Linked DNA regions of Macaca fascicularis. The protein of the gene in region 1 interacts with the protein of each later gene in a pairwise test. Links are inferred from orthologs where the notes say so. Each region holds a gene or a part of one and is shown on either strand. Other genes may lie near its edges.

The links. The genes of interacting proteins can lie anywhere in the genome.
Region 2: the proteins of TSC22D4 (region 1) and NRBP1 interact in binary tests that used the Homo sapiens proteins (3 or more experiments, as listed by UniProt). The link is inferred for Macaca fascicularis from reciprocal best matches to the Homo sapiens genes TSC22D4 and NRBP1.
Region 3: the proteins of TSC22D4 (region 1) and MAD2L1 interact in binary tests that used the Homo sapiens proteins (3 or more experiments, as listed by UniProt). The two-hybrid records come from large-scale screens. The link is inferred for Macaca fascicularis from reciprocal best matches to the Homo sapiens genes TSC22D4 and MAD2L1.

The regions. Positions count from the first base shown.
Region 1 is NC_088377.1:49,048,267-49,052,792, forward strand, and holds the end of TSC22D4 (TSC22 domain family protein 4), read right to left. Parts: intron 2,131-4,526; coding exon of another isoform or gene 2,037-2,130; coding exon 1,988-2,036; intron 1,606-1,987; coding exon 1,396-1,605; 3' UTR 960-1,395; downstream 1-959.
Region 2 is NC_088387.1:94,785,327-94,789,513, reverse strand, and holds part of NRBP1 (nuclear receptor-binding protein), read left to right. Parts: intron 1-2,758; 5' UTR 2,759-2,778; coding exon 2,779-2,988; intron 2,989-3,177; coding exon 3,178-3,300; intron 3,301-3,494; coding exon 3,495-3,596; intron 3,597-3,979; coding exon 3,980-4,069; intron 4,070-4,187. UniProt on the Homo sapiens protein: Required for embryonic development. Plays a role in intestinal epithelial cell fate and proliferation, thereby involved in the architectural development of the intestine potentially via the regulation of Wnt-responsive genes.
Region 3 is NC_088379.1:125,163,819-125,167,148, reverse strand, and holds the end of MAD2L1 (mitotic spindle assembly checkpoint protein MAD2A), read left to right. Parts: intron 1-827; coding exon 828-931; intron 932-1,824; coding exon 1,825-1,997; 3' UTR 1,998-2,681; downstream 2,682-3,330. UniProt on the Homo sapiens protein: Component of the spindle-assembly checkpoint that prevents the onset of anaphase until all chromosomes are properly aligned at the metaphase plate.

The DNA of each region.
Region 1 (4,526 bases):
TCACTTGAGCCCAGGAGTGGAAGACAACAGTGATCTATGATAACACCACTGCACTCCAGCCTGGGCAACATAGCAAGGCCCCATCTCTACAAAAATAAAGACAATTAGCTGAACGTGGTGGCACACACCTATAGTTCAGGGAGGCCAAGGCAGGAGGATCACTTGAGCCAGGGACGTGGAGGCTGCAGGGAGCTGTGTTTGTGCCGCTGCATTCCGGGCATCAGAGCAAGACCCTGTCTCAAAAAAAGAAAGAAGAAACGAAGAAAAAAAAAAGAAAAACCAAAGAAGTTGCCCAAGGTTATGAACCTAGGGAAACCTAAGGAGGCAGAGAGTCACGGACTCCAAGGCAGGTCAGCCTCCTTGGAGGCTGCTGGGGCTAGGGGCCTCCTGGGGCTACATCCGCAACTCTCACCTCTTCCCCGCTAGATGGGGTCCTTCTCCATCACTGCTGACTCTTCCGCCTGGGACTGGAGCCCAGGCTGCCAGGGAGGGGCCATCTCACCCACAGGGCCCGTCCTCAGCTGGCCGGGGGTGGGAGCCACGGCGGCCGGCCAGGCCTGGCAAGGGCACCGTGTGCCCAGGGAGTCTGGCCCACACCCAGCCCAGAGACAAGGGGCCCATTCAGGGCCCCCCGCCCCGCCCCCAAGCAGCCACCCGGATCCAGCCCGCAGAGGGGACACACTGGGAAGCTGGGGGTGGATCTTGGGCAGCCACCAAAGACCTCATTGTTTCCTGGTCCCCCCGCCCAGCACGTGGGCAGACGCCCCCCCACCCCCAATCCTCGCCTGCCCCTTCCCAGGACCCGAACCGCTGGCTCCCTTCTCCAGTCTCTGTCTCAACCCCTCCATCTCCCACGCTTTAAACCTCCCCAGTCTGCAAAAGATCTCAGGGAAGCCCCAAATGGCAGGCGCAACCCCTGAGTCTGAACACAAGCAACGAACGAGATGTCAACCTCCAAATTCAAGTTTCTTCAGAATTTTTAATTATTATTATTTTAATAACAACCTGAATCCCAGAACTTCCAGATACTGTCCACACTCCCTCCCCTAGGCAGAGGAGAGGATGCACCTCAAGGGAACAAGGTGGGGGTGGGGTGTCTGCCAGGGAGCCTCCAACTCCCCCAGGCCGTCGACTGCTGGGGGTCCCATGAGGGAGGGTGGAGGTTGGTTCCCTCCCAGAGGGGGCTCCCTCTGATGCCCCGTCCTGAAGTCCTCCCTCCTCCATCAAGGCTGGGGATGATGAGGAGATGGGGCAGGGGCCGGGGGACCAGGCCGTTACTGAGCCTTGAACTCCCACCCTGGGGACATGGGGACATTAAAGCTGCATAGGAAGAGGGGGCAGGCGGCTGACAAAAGGCCGGGCAGCCCCAAAGGCACATTGTAAGGGAAGGGAGGCTCAGACGGAGGGCCCATTGGGCGCGGAGGGCCCAAGCCGTGGGACCCCCGAGGAGGGCAGCTGAGCCAGCTGCTCCGGGCTGGCCAGGGCGCGCAGCAGCCCGTTCTCCTGCTCCAGCGCAGCGTTCCGCTCTGCCAGTTCCCGGATCTGCTCCTTCAGTACCTCCACCTCCTCCCGGACCGCAAACATGAGGTGGGACTTCACCAAATCCTGGGGGCCCCGGGGACAGGCACAGTGTCAACGGAGTGGGTGCCTCATCCCCTGCCCAGTGCCTCAAGGGCCGGGATGGGAGAGAGTCCCGTGTCCAGAGGATGAGAGACAAAGCAGGGAAGGGACAGGGGAAAAGGACGAGGGACAGAGGCAGAGTCAGAGCTCAAAGACAGAGATGGGGACCAGCAGCCAGACCAGAGGCCGGGCAAAGTCAAGGGTGCAGGTGGCGGTAGGAGGGGGCAGAGGATGCCCAGGAGCCCAGCAGGGAGAGGGATGGAGGAACTGGGAGTTGGTGTTCCCTGGTAAGGAAGAAGACAGGGCTGGGGCGGAGGGATGGCTTAAGGGGGCCGGGACCTCCTGGGACCAAGATGGCTTCTCTTACCATGGCTTGCTCGATTTTGTTGTCAATGCCAACCAGGCTTCCGGAGCCACTGGAGAGACACAGGAAGGTGAGGGGAGGAGAGGAGGAGCCTTCCCAGGTGCTGGTTTCTTGGACCACAGCCTCCCGCCCACACCCCCCTATACCTGTGACAGTAGAGAATGAGGGAGAGGAGGGTTTTGTCCATCCCCCTGCGGGCTGAGGGCCGCTGCCCAGGGCCTCCCAGGCCCCGGTGGGGCGGGGGCCCAGATGTCCCTCGTATGGGGGACGCACCCCGGGGAGAGCAAGGGGAAGAGGCACAGCCCCTTTTTCGGGGCGGCCCCGGAGCCATCCCCACCACTCGGGTCTCATAAGATGACACCAGGGACTTGACAGAGATCCCTGGCTGGGCCATGCCCAAGGGGAAAGGGTCCTTAGACGCCCCCCCAACGGAGAAGGATGCAGTGAAGGGAATGCCTGGGGGGCTCAGAGCCCCCCGGGCAGAGCGGGGTCTGGCTGGTGCCAGGCGGGCAGAGAGGAGACAGTGCCTCGGGGGTGCTGGCCTGAAAGATATACACCACCCCCCCCAAGGGCAAGGCCTGGCTGCTATTGGCTCCTTGGGGACACGGGGACCCCCCCTCCCCTCGGCTCCTCGGTGGGCGGGAATTCCCAGACACGGTCAGTGCCAGTGTCCCCTTCTCACCCTGGCACCAATCCCAGAGTGGAGGGGAGGGGGCCGGCCGAGGAAGTCAGCTGGTGGCTGGGCCAGGGGAGGGGCGTGGGGCAGAAGCCTGGGTCTGAGAGGGGAGTAAAGGGTGTGAAGGGAGACGAAGGGCCTGGCCCTCGGAGGCCCCTCCCCACCTCTGACCCCATCCTGTCCCCTCTGTCCCTCAAGGCCTTGGGAAAGAGGGTGGAGGTGGCTGGGGTAGGGGGCGTTCTGACGTACTCGTGGTCTTCCATAGATCATGAGTGCTCTACTACCAAAAAACCCCACAAGGCTCACATCATGGGTGACCCCGGGACCTGGCCAGAGGGTCCCTGACTTTCCAGAGAAGACCAAAAATGGGAAAGGTTACCACGGCAACAGAAACTGAGCCCAGAGCCCTAGAAGACGAATACAGCCTAAAGGCCAGGTGCGGTGGCTCACACCTGTAATCCCAGCACTTTGGGAGGCTGAGGTGGGTGGATCATTTGAGGTCAGGAGTTCGAGACCAGCCTGGCTAACACGGTGAAACCCCATCTCTACTGAAAATACAAAAATTAGCCAGGCATGGTGGAGGGTGCCAGTAATCCCAGCTACTCAGGAGGCTGAGGCAGGAGAATTGCTTGAACCGGGAGGTAGAGGTTGCAGTGAGCTAAGATCGTGCTACTACACTCCAGCCTGGAAGACAGAGTGAGATCCTGTCTCAAAAAAAAAAAAAAAAAGGGACAGGCATGGTGGCACATGCCCGTAATCCCAGCACTTTGGGAGGCTGAGGCAGGCGGATCTCCTGAGGTCAGAAGTTCAAGACCAGCCTGGCCAACATGGTGAAACCCTGGCTCTACTAGAAGTACAAAAAATTAGCCAGGCGTGGTGGCAGGTGCCTGTAATCCCAGCTACTCAGGAGGCTGAGGCAGGAGAATCGCTTGAACCTGGGAGGTGGAGACTGCAGTGAGCCGAGATCAGGCCACTGCACTCCAGCCGGGGCAACAAGAGCAAAACTCTGTCTTAAAAAAAAAATACCGCCGGATCACGAGGTCAGGAGATCGAGACCATCCTGGCTAACACGGTGAAACCCCGTCTCTACTAAAAAATACAAAAAACTAGCCGGGCGAGGTGGTGGGCGCCTGTAGTCCCAGCTACTCAGGAGGCTGAGGCAGGAGAATGGCGTGAACCCGGGAGGCGGAGCTTGCAGTGAGCTGAGATCTGGCCACTGCACTCCAGCCTGGGCGACAGAGCCAGACTCCGTCTCAAAAAAAAAAAAAAAAAAAACCGCCTATGGGCCTGGGACCTGGGTCTGGGGTCTCAGAGGAAGCGAGGGCTCAGAGGAGAGGAAGGGAAGTGAGCTTGGAGATGGGACATTGGGAAGAGGAGCAACAGGGCTTGGAAGAGAGGTGGGAGTCCCAGGTGACAGGGTCTGGCTGCAGTCTGGGAAGTGGCCACCAGAGGGCGACTCAGGCCTGGCTCAACAGCCCCCAGGGCCAGGCTCCAGGCTGGCTCCAAGACGCTGGGCTCTTGGTCCCAGAACCTGGCTCTCCCTCAAGCCCCACTCTCACCGCCCAGGACCTGCACAGGCTCTTGTGCCGACCTCATCCTCCAAGGCTCCCTCTCCCACCACTCTGGCCCCAGGCTCTTGCCCTGAGGCTCCAGACCTACCCTTGTACCCCTGCACTCTGGTGCTGTGGTGGGATCCCCAGTCCTGCCCTCCAGCCCCCAGCTGGGCCCCGCTCGGAGCAGGGGCCTCAAGGGGCTGCAGGCCACATCCCTGGGCTCCCTTGTAAGCTCTCCCTCCTGGCTGTCAGCTCAGACTCGCTTCCCCGCAGGGGGATCAGCACTCAATTCAAGGTGACCCTTGGATGAGGT
Region 2 (4,187 bases), on another chromosome or scaffold:
TACGCCATTCTCCTGCCTCAGCCTCTTAAGTGACTGGGACTACAGGCGCCCGCCACCGCGCCCGGCTAATTTTTTGTATTTTTTAGTAGAGACAGGGTTTCACCGTGTTAGCTAGGATGGTCTTCGTCTCCTGACCTCGTGATCCGCCCGTCTCGGCCTCCCAAAGTGCTGGGATTACAGGCTTGAACCACCGCGCCCGGCTGAGTTATTTGTATTTGTAAGAAATAACCTAGGCCAGTGCGGTGGCTCATGCCTGTAATCCCAGCACTTCGGGAGGCTGAGGCAGGCGGATGATGAGGTCAGGAGATCGAGACCATCCTGGCTAACACGGTGAAACACCATCTCTACTAAAAATACAAAAAATTAGCCCGATGTGGTGGCACATGCCTATAGTCCCAGCTACTCGGGAGGCTGAGGCAGGAGAATCGCTTGAACCTGGGAGGCGGAGGTTGCAGTGAGCCAAGATCACACCACTGCACTCCAGCCTGGGCAACAGAGTGAGATTCCATCCCCTCCGCCAAAAAAGAAATAACCTATATCAGATCTAGTGCCCCAGAGAATGGAAACTTCAGAGCCTTTGACCAATGTGAATGAAATGAAAGCTGGAAGCTTAAAGTCTTAGCTCTGACTTGAATTTGTGGCTGCTTGAATGTGGGTATTTATTTTGTTTGTTATTGTATCTCAAGGACTTAGCCCAATGGTTGGCCCACAATAAGTGCTTAAAAAAAATCTGTCAAATGAGTGAATGAAAAAAAAAATGTTGTTAACCAATACTCATTTGTCACAGTCACATCACAGGAAAGGTGAGGTCATCAGGGATGAAGTCACTAACAACTGCCAGTTACCTGCCCCAAGGGTAGCCTCACCATGGACTGGCGGGCTTGTTCTGTGTAGAGAAGGGATGGATAGTGAATGCCAAAGTTAGTTCTAGCTGGATAAATTAGCCAAGGGTTTCAGCTGGATAAGTTGGCTGAGGGTGCTACAGGTCCAGCCTTAAGGCTGTCTCAGTGCAACATTTTGGAGTCTGGAGTCATCTGTTCTGAATAGCACCCATACAGCTTTTTTGTTTTTAATTCTTGAGATGGAGTCTCACTCTGTTGCCCAAGCTGGAGTGCAGTGGCACAATCTCAGCTCACTGAAACCTCTGCCTCCCTGGTTTAAGTGATTCTCCTGCTTCAGCCTCCTGAGTAGCTGGGACTACAGGTACGTGCCACCACACCCGGCTAATTTTTTTATTTTTAGTAGATACAGGGTTTTGCCATGTTGGTTAGGCTGGTCCTGAACTCTTGACCTCAGGTAATCCACCTACCTCAGTCTCCCAAAGTGTTGGGATTACAGGCGTGAGCCACCGTGCCTGGCCACACATAGCTTAATTCTTGAGCACAGTACAAATAGGGTGTACTTGTGGATTCAAAGGGAAGCATGTTGGATGAATATTTGCCAAGAAGGAATGGAGCACCTGATTTTGCTGTTGATTTGAACCTGACTCTAAGTGAGGTTGGACTGCCGTAAATCTTGTATTTGTCATTCCTAGGTGGGTCATCTTCAACTATGATAGCTCACCTTCTCTAGACTTGAGTTAGGAGAATAGTTAATGTTGCAGTATTTAGGACTGATTCTGATTTTGGATTTAAAGGAAACAACGGTGGTGTGTGTTTCCTATTTTTAATTTTTAAAAATTTTGTGTAGAGACTGGGGTCTTGTTATGTTGTCCAGGCTGGTCTCAAGTGCCTGGCCTGTTTTCTTTTGAATTTGCAGATGAAGTTATTAGGATTATTAAATCTTTTTATTTATTTATTTTTTTGAGACAGGGTCTCCCTCTGTTGCCCAGCCAATGGCATGATCATAGCTCACTGCAGCCTCAAACTCCTGGGCAATCAAGTGATTCTCCCTTCAGCCTCCCGGGTAGCTGGGACTATAGCTGTGTACCGCCTCACCCTGCTAATTTTAAAATTTTTTTTGTAAAGATGGGCTCTCACTTTGTTGCCCAGGCTGGATCTCAAACTCCTGGCCTCAAGTGAACCTCTTGCCTCGGCTTCTCAAATTCCTAGGATTACAGGGGTGAGCCACTGTGCTCAACTGGATTACTAAATTTTTCTTTTTTTTTTTTTTTTTTGAGATGGGGTGCTTGCTCTGTCACCCAGACTGGAGTGCAGTGGCACGATCTCGGCTCACTGCAACCTCTACCTCCCTGGTTCAAAAAATTCTCGGCCGGGCGCGGTGGCTCACGCCTGTAATCCCAGCACTTTGGGAGGCCGTGGCGGGCGGATCACGAGGTCAGGAGATCGAGACCATCCTGGCTAACACAGTGAAACCCCGTCTCTACTAAAAATACAAAAAATTAGCCGGGCGTGTGGTGGGCGCCTGTAGTCCCAGCTGCTTGGAAGGCTGAGGTGGGAGAATGGTGTGAACCTAGGAGGTGGAGCTTGCAGTAAGCAGAGATTGCGCCACTACACTCCAGCCTGGGCAACAGAGTGAGACTCCGTCTCAAAAAAAAAAAAAGAAAAAATTCTCCTGCCTCAGTCTCCTGAGTAGCTGGGACTACAGGCACATGCCACCACACCCAGCTAATTTTGTATTTTTAGTAGAAATGGGGTTTCACCATGTTGAACTCCTGACCTCAGGTGATCTGCCCACCTCGGCCTCCCAAAGGGATTACGGGCGTGAGCCACCGTGTCCAGCCTGGGTTACTAAATCTTTACAGATGTATCCTGACTCTCTCTGCCTTCTCCCTCTGTACTTGCCCCAACCATTGCAGGCCTGAGTGTTCCTTCCAGCATGTCGGAGGGGGAGTCCCAGACAGTACTCAGCAGTGGCTCAGATCCAAAGGTAGAATCCTCATCTTCAGCTCCTGGCCTGACATCAGTGTCACCTCCTGTGACCTCCACAACCTCAGCTGCTTCCCCAGAGGAAGAAGAAGAAAGTGAAGATGAGTCTGAGATTTTGGAAGAGTCGCCGTGTGGGCGCTGGCAGAAGAGGCGAGAAGAGGTAAGGTGATGGTACAGTCACTCTTGGGGGAGTGAGTTCTGGAAAGGTGAGAACTGGAAGACCGAAGTCTTAAAAGAGGCCGACCAAACTTCAATAGGTTGGGGGCTAGGAGGAGATGATCATATGGAGTGTTAAGATGGAGGATTTGCGAGATAACTTTAATTGTCTTTCATATGAATTTCTTCTCAGGTGAATCAACGGAATGTACCAGGTATTGACAGTGCATACCTGGCCATGGATACAGAGGAAGGTGTAGAGGTTGTGTGGAATGAGGTACAGTTCTCTGAGCGCAAGAACTACAAGCTGCAGGAGGTAGGTAATGCTGAAAAGGTGAAGCCTGGGGAATGTTGGAACACTGATGTTAGAGAGGAATTGGTATTGGGAAGCTGCCCATGAGGAGAGTATGTTGGGGTCAGTTCATTTCTGGGGAGGGACAGGGAATGGCTTCTCAGGATTATTACAGTGATTCATGAACTCTGTTATTCCACTGTCTCCCTTGCTCTCAGGAAAAGGTTCGTGCTGTGTTTGATAATCTGATTCAATTGGAGCATCTTAACATTGTTAAGTTTCACAAATATTGGGCTGACATTAAAGAGAACAAGGCCAGGGTAAGAATTTTTTCCCCATATTTCCTGAACTTACTGCAAAGAGACTAGCTACATTTATTATTGTTCGTTTTACACTCAGAGATTAAAACAAGGTAGTTTTGAAACAGAACTGGAATCAGCTGCAATGGCGATAAGAGTAGGGCTTCAGTTGTCACCTATGCCTTTTATATGGCTATAGATTGGGCAGAAAATGAGTGAACTTTTGCTTCCTTCTTCCCATAACTTTTATTGCTTAGTAGTTTCCATTGCCCTATTTAGTCTAAGTAAGTAAAGCTAAGAACAAAAGGAGAGAAATTTTAACAAACTTTCAAATTTAAAATCTGTTACAAGGGAAGGGATCATTTCTACTATAAGACCTTTTAGTAAATGCTTTGCCTCCCCAGGTCATTTTTATCACAGAATACATGTCATCTGGCAGTCTGAAGCAATTTCTGAAGAAGACCAAAAAGAACCACAAGACCATGAATGAAAAGGTATAGAAGGAGAGCAGACAAAGTTTTAGGCTCGGGGTGGGGCAGGGCGGGGGCCTTAAAAATTACTGTGTTAATAATGAAGCTGATCAGGAAGGGATGGAAGGAGCTAGTGGGAGAG
Region 3 (3,330 bases), on another chromosome or scaffold:
GCCTTTAGTCTAAATCAGCAATTTTCAAACAGTATTTATGGTGGTATATACAAAACTACACATGATATACTAGATGAACCATTTAATGAATTGTTCTAAGATGTTTTTAACTATAAGGAATTATATTAGATTCACACAATTTATGATGTAGCTCTGCTGTACTTCCTTTAATGCCATCTACTTCCTAAGACACTTGATAAATTTCTGAAAGTTCCAGACTCCCTGGAAGAGAAGTGTCTGTCTTTATACTCTAATGTTTAGCATTGTCCTAGGCATGCTTTTCTATAAACTGGGAACCATTTCTTACAGTGAAATGTAGTTTGCTTCTGAAGGCTTTGGTTTATTTTAGGAAATTTTTAGCTTATAAAATAATTTGATACACAATTTAATGTTTTATTTGAGAAAATAGGAATTTAGACATTTAGGCATTACTAAAAGTGCCAAAATGATTATACCAATTAAATATTTTAGATAGCATTTGTTATTTTATTTCAAGAGATGCTGAAGTTTCCTGAACTTGAAATGATTGGCAGATTTTCTAGTCATCTGATACTAAATGACCTGACACTAAGACCAGCTCTAAAAGATGCCTGGCAGGATAAATGAAGTAATGAGGATGTATGTTGTGCCTACTAGGTTATAGGTCCAAAGGATACTTTCATTCACAGTTTTTACAAACCTCCTTTTTAAAGCACTGCTTATTTGATGTTGAGAGCATTTAATCAAATAAATAATCTTACCACTATGTTTGAAATAACTTAAAACCTAAAATGAATTAATTGATTGGGTGCACTGTTGATTTTTTTTTTTTTTTTTTTTTTTGACAGTGCACCCAGAGAAAAGTCTCAGAAAGCTATCCAGGATGAAATCCGTTCAGTGATCAGACAGATAACAGCTACGGTGACATTTCTGCCACTGTTGGAAGTTTCCTGTAAGTATACAACTTCTTGTTGGATTAAATTGATTGGCAAAAAGACTAAGCTACTGCCTTAATCACCCCTTTATTCAATTTTGTCTTGTCAGATTTATGTAATATAAATTGAAGAAAAAACATTATAAAGGAAAATTAATGTATCATAGTCTCCCTTTCCACAAGGAGACCCACAGTGACTACCTGAAACCATGGATAGTATGAACCCTGTATGATGTTTTTCTTATGCATACATACCTGTGATACAATTTAATATGTAAATTAAGCATCGTAAGAGTTAATAAACTGGAACAATTATAACAATATGCTGGCATCACTATTCTTGTGCTTTGGGACCATTATTTTTATTTATTTATTTATTTATTTATTTTGAGACGGAGTCTCACTCTGTCGCCCAGGCTGGAGTGCAGTAGCGCGATCTCGGCTCACTGCAAGCTCTGCCTCCCAGGTTCACACTATTCTCCCGCCTCAGCATCCCCAGTAGCTGGGACTACAGGCACCCGCCACCATGCCCAGCTAATTTTTTGTATTTTTAGTAGAGACGGGGTTTCACCATGATAACCAGGATGGTCTCGATCTCCTCCTGACCTAGTGATTCGCCCACCTTGGGCTCCCAAAGTGCTGGGATTACAGGCGTGAGCCACCGCACCCACCCTTGGGACCATTATTAAATAAGATAAGGGTTACTTGAACACAATCACTAAATTGCACAGAAATTAGATACAATATTTTCTTTATTAAGATAAATGTTCATTGAGCAAAATAAATTAGTGATTAGAGGCCAAGCCAAATGACCTTTTCCAGCAGTGAGTTGTTCAAAATAGAAGAGAGGCAACAAGATTAGTTTTACTTTTAGAAAGTAATGTACTTTAATGATCTTATCCCCAATTTAGGTTCATTTGATCTGCTGATTTATACAGACAAAGATTTGGTTGTACCTGAAAAATGGGAAGAGTCGGGACCACAGTTTATTACCAATTCTGAGGAAGTCCGCCTTCGTTCATTTACTACTACAATCCACAAAGTAAATAGCATGGTGGCCTACAAAATTCCTGTCAATGACTGAGGATGACGTGAGGAAAATAATGTAATTGTAATTTTGAAATTTGGTTTTCCTGAAATCAAATCATCTACAGTTAATATGTTTTATTTCATTGGTTAATTTTTACATGGAGAAAACCAAAATGATACTTACTGAACTGTGTGTAATTGTTCCTTTTATTTTTTGGTGCCTATTTGACTTACCATGGAGTTAACATCATGAATTTATTGCACACTGTTCAAAAGGAACCAGGAATTTTTTTTGTCAACGTTGTGATGTATATTCTTTGAAGATAGTAACTGTAGATGGAAAAACTTGTGCTATAAAGCTAAATGCTTTCCTAAATCAGATGTTTTGGTCAAGTAGCTTGACTCAGTATAGGTAGGGAGATATTTAAGTATAAAATACAGCAAAGGAAGTCTAAATATTCAGAATCTTTGCTAAGGTCCTGAAAGTAACTAATAATCTATAAACATGAAATATTGCTGTATTAGCTCCTTTTGACCTTCATTTCATGTATAGTTTTCCCTAATGAATCAGTTTCCAAATTTGACTTTAATTTATGTAACTTGAACTTATGAAACAATGGATATTTGTACTCTTTAATGTTCTGTGATACAGAACTCTTAAAAATGTTTTTGTGTGTGTGTGTTTTATAAAATCAAGTTTTAAGTGAAAGTGAGGAAATAAAGTTAAGTTTGTTTTAAATTTGTCTTAAAAATTTTGATACTGGTTTGGTGTTGATATAGTTAAATGGTAATTAGAATTGATTCAGCATAACTATTGAATTCTTGTTCCTATGAAGTTATAGAACTTAAAGATACAAAGTTGAGTGAGTCTTGAGGTGTCTTCAATCTAATGGATAAACTTTGATCACATCCTGTTGATCTCATAGCAATAGACAAAGCTATTACTTCATCATTGTGAAAGGATAAATGTCCTTTGGAATTAGTCCAACAATTCCAGTTGAACAAATGTTGATTTTAGTACTTTACTATACTCTTAGCCTTATTATCAGCCTACTTTTCTTTAGGTATTTAAATACTATGCTTATTCCTGTGCTTTCATTAATACCTTCATCTGGTACATGCTTTCTATCCAGTTCTCACCTGTTTTTCCAAAGTCAATTTAAGGCAGATTTGTAAAGTCTTCTCTCATCTCTAATCTAAATCTGACCTCATTTTGTAAAAATTCAGTTTATTAATGCTTATTATTAGACACTTAAGTTCTTTATGTGTATGAAGTAATTGCAGATAGTCTGAATGTGTTCATTCAGAAATTACATATTGAGCAAATACTGTGGATCAGTGGCAGTTTCTGGGTTCTCAGTGACAAATTTGTAGACTCTTCATATCTT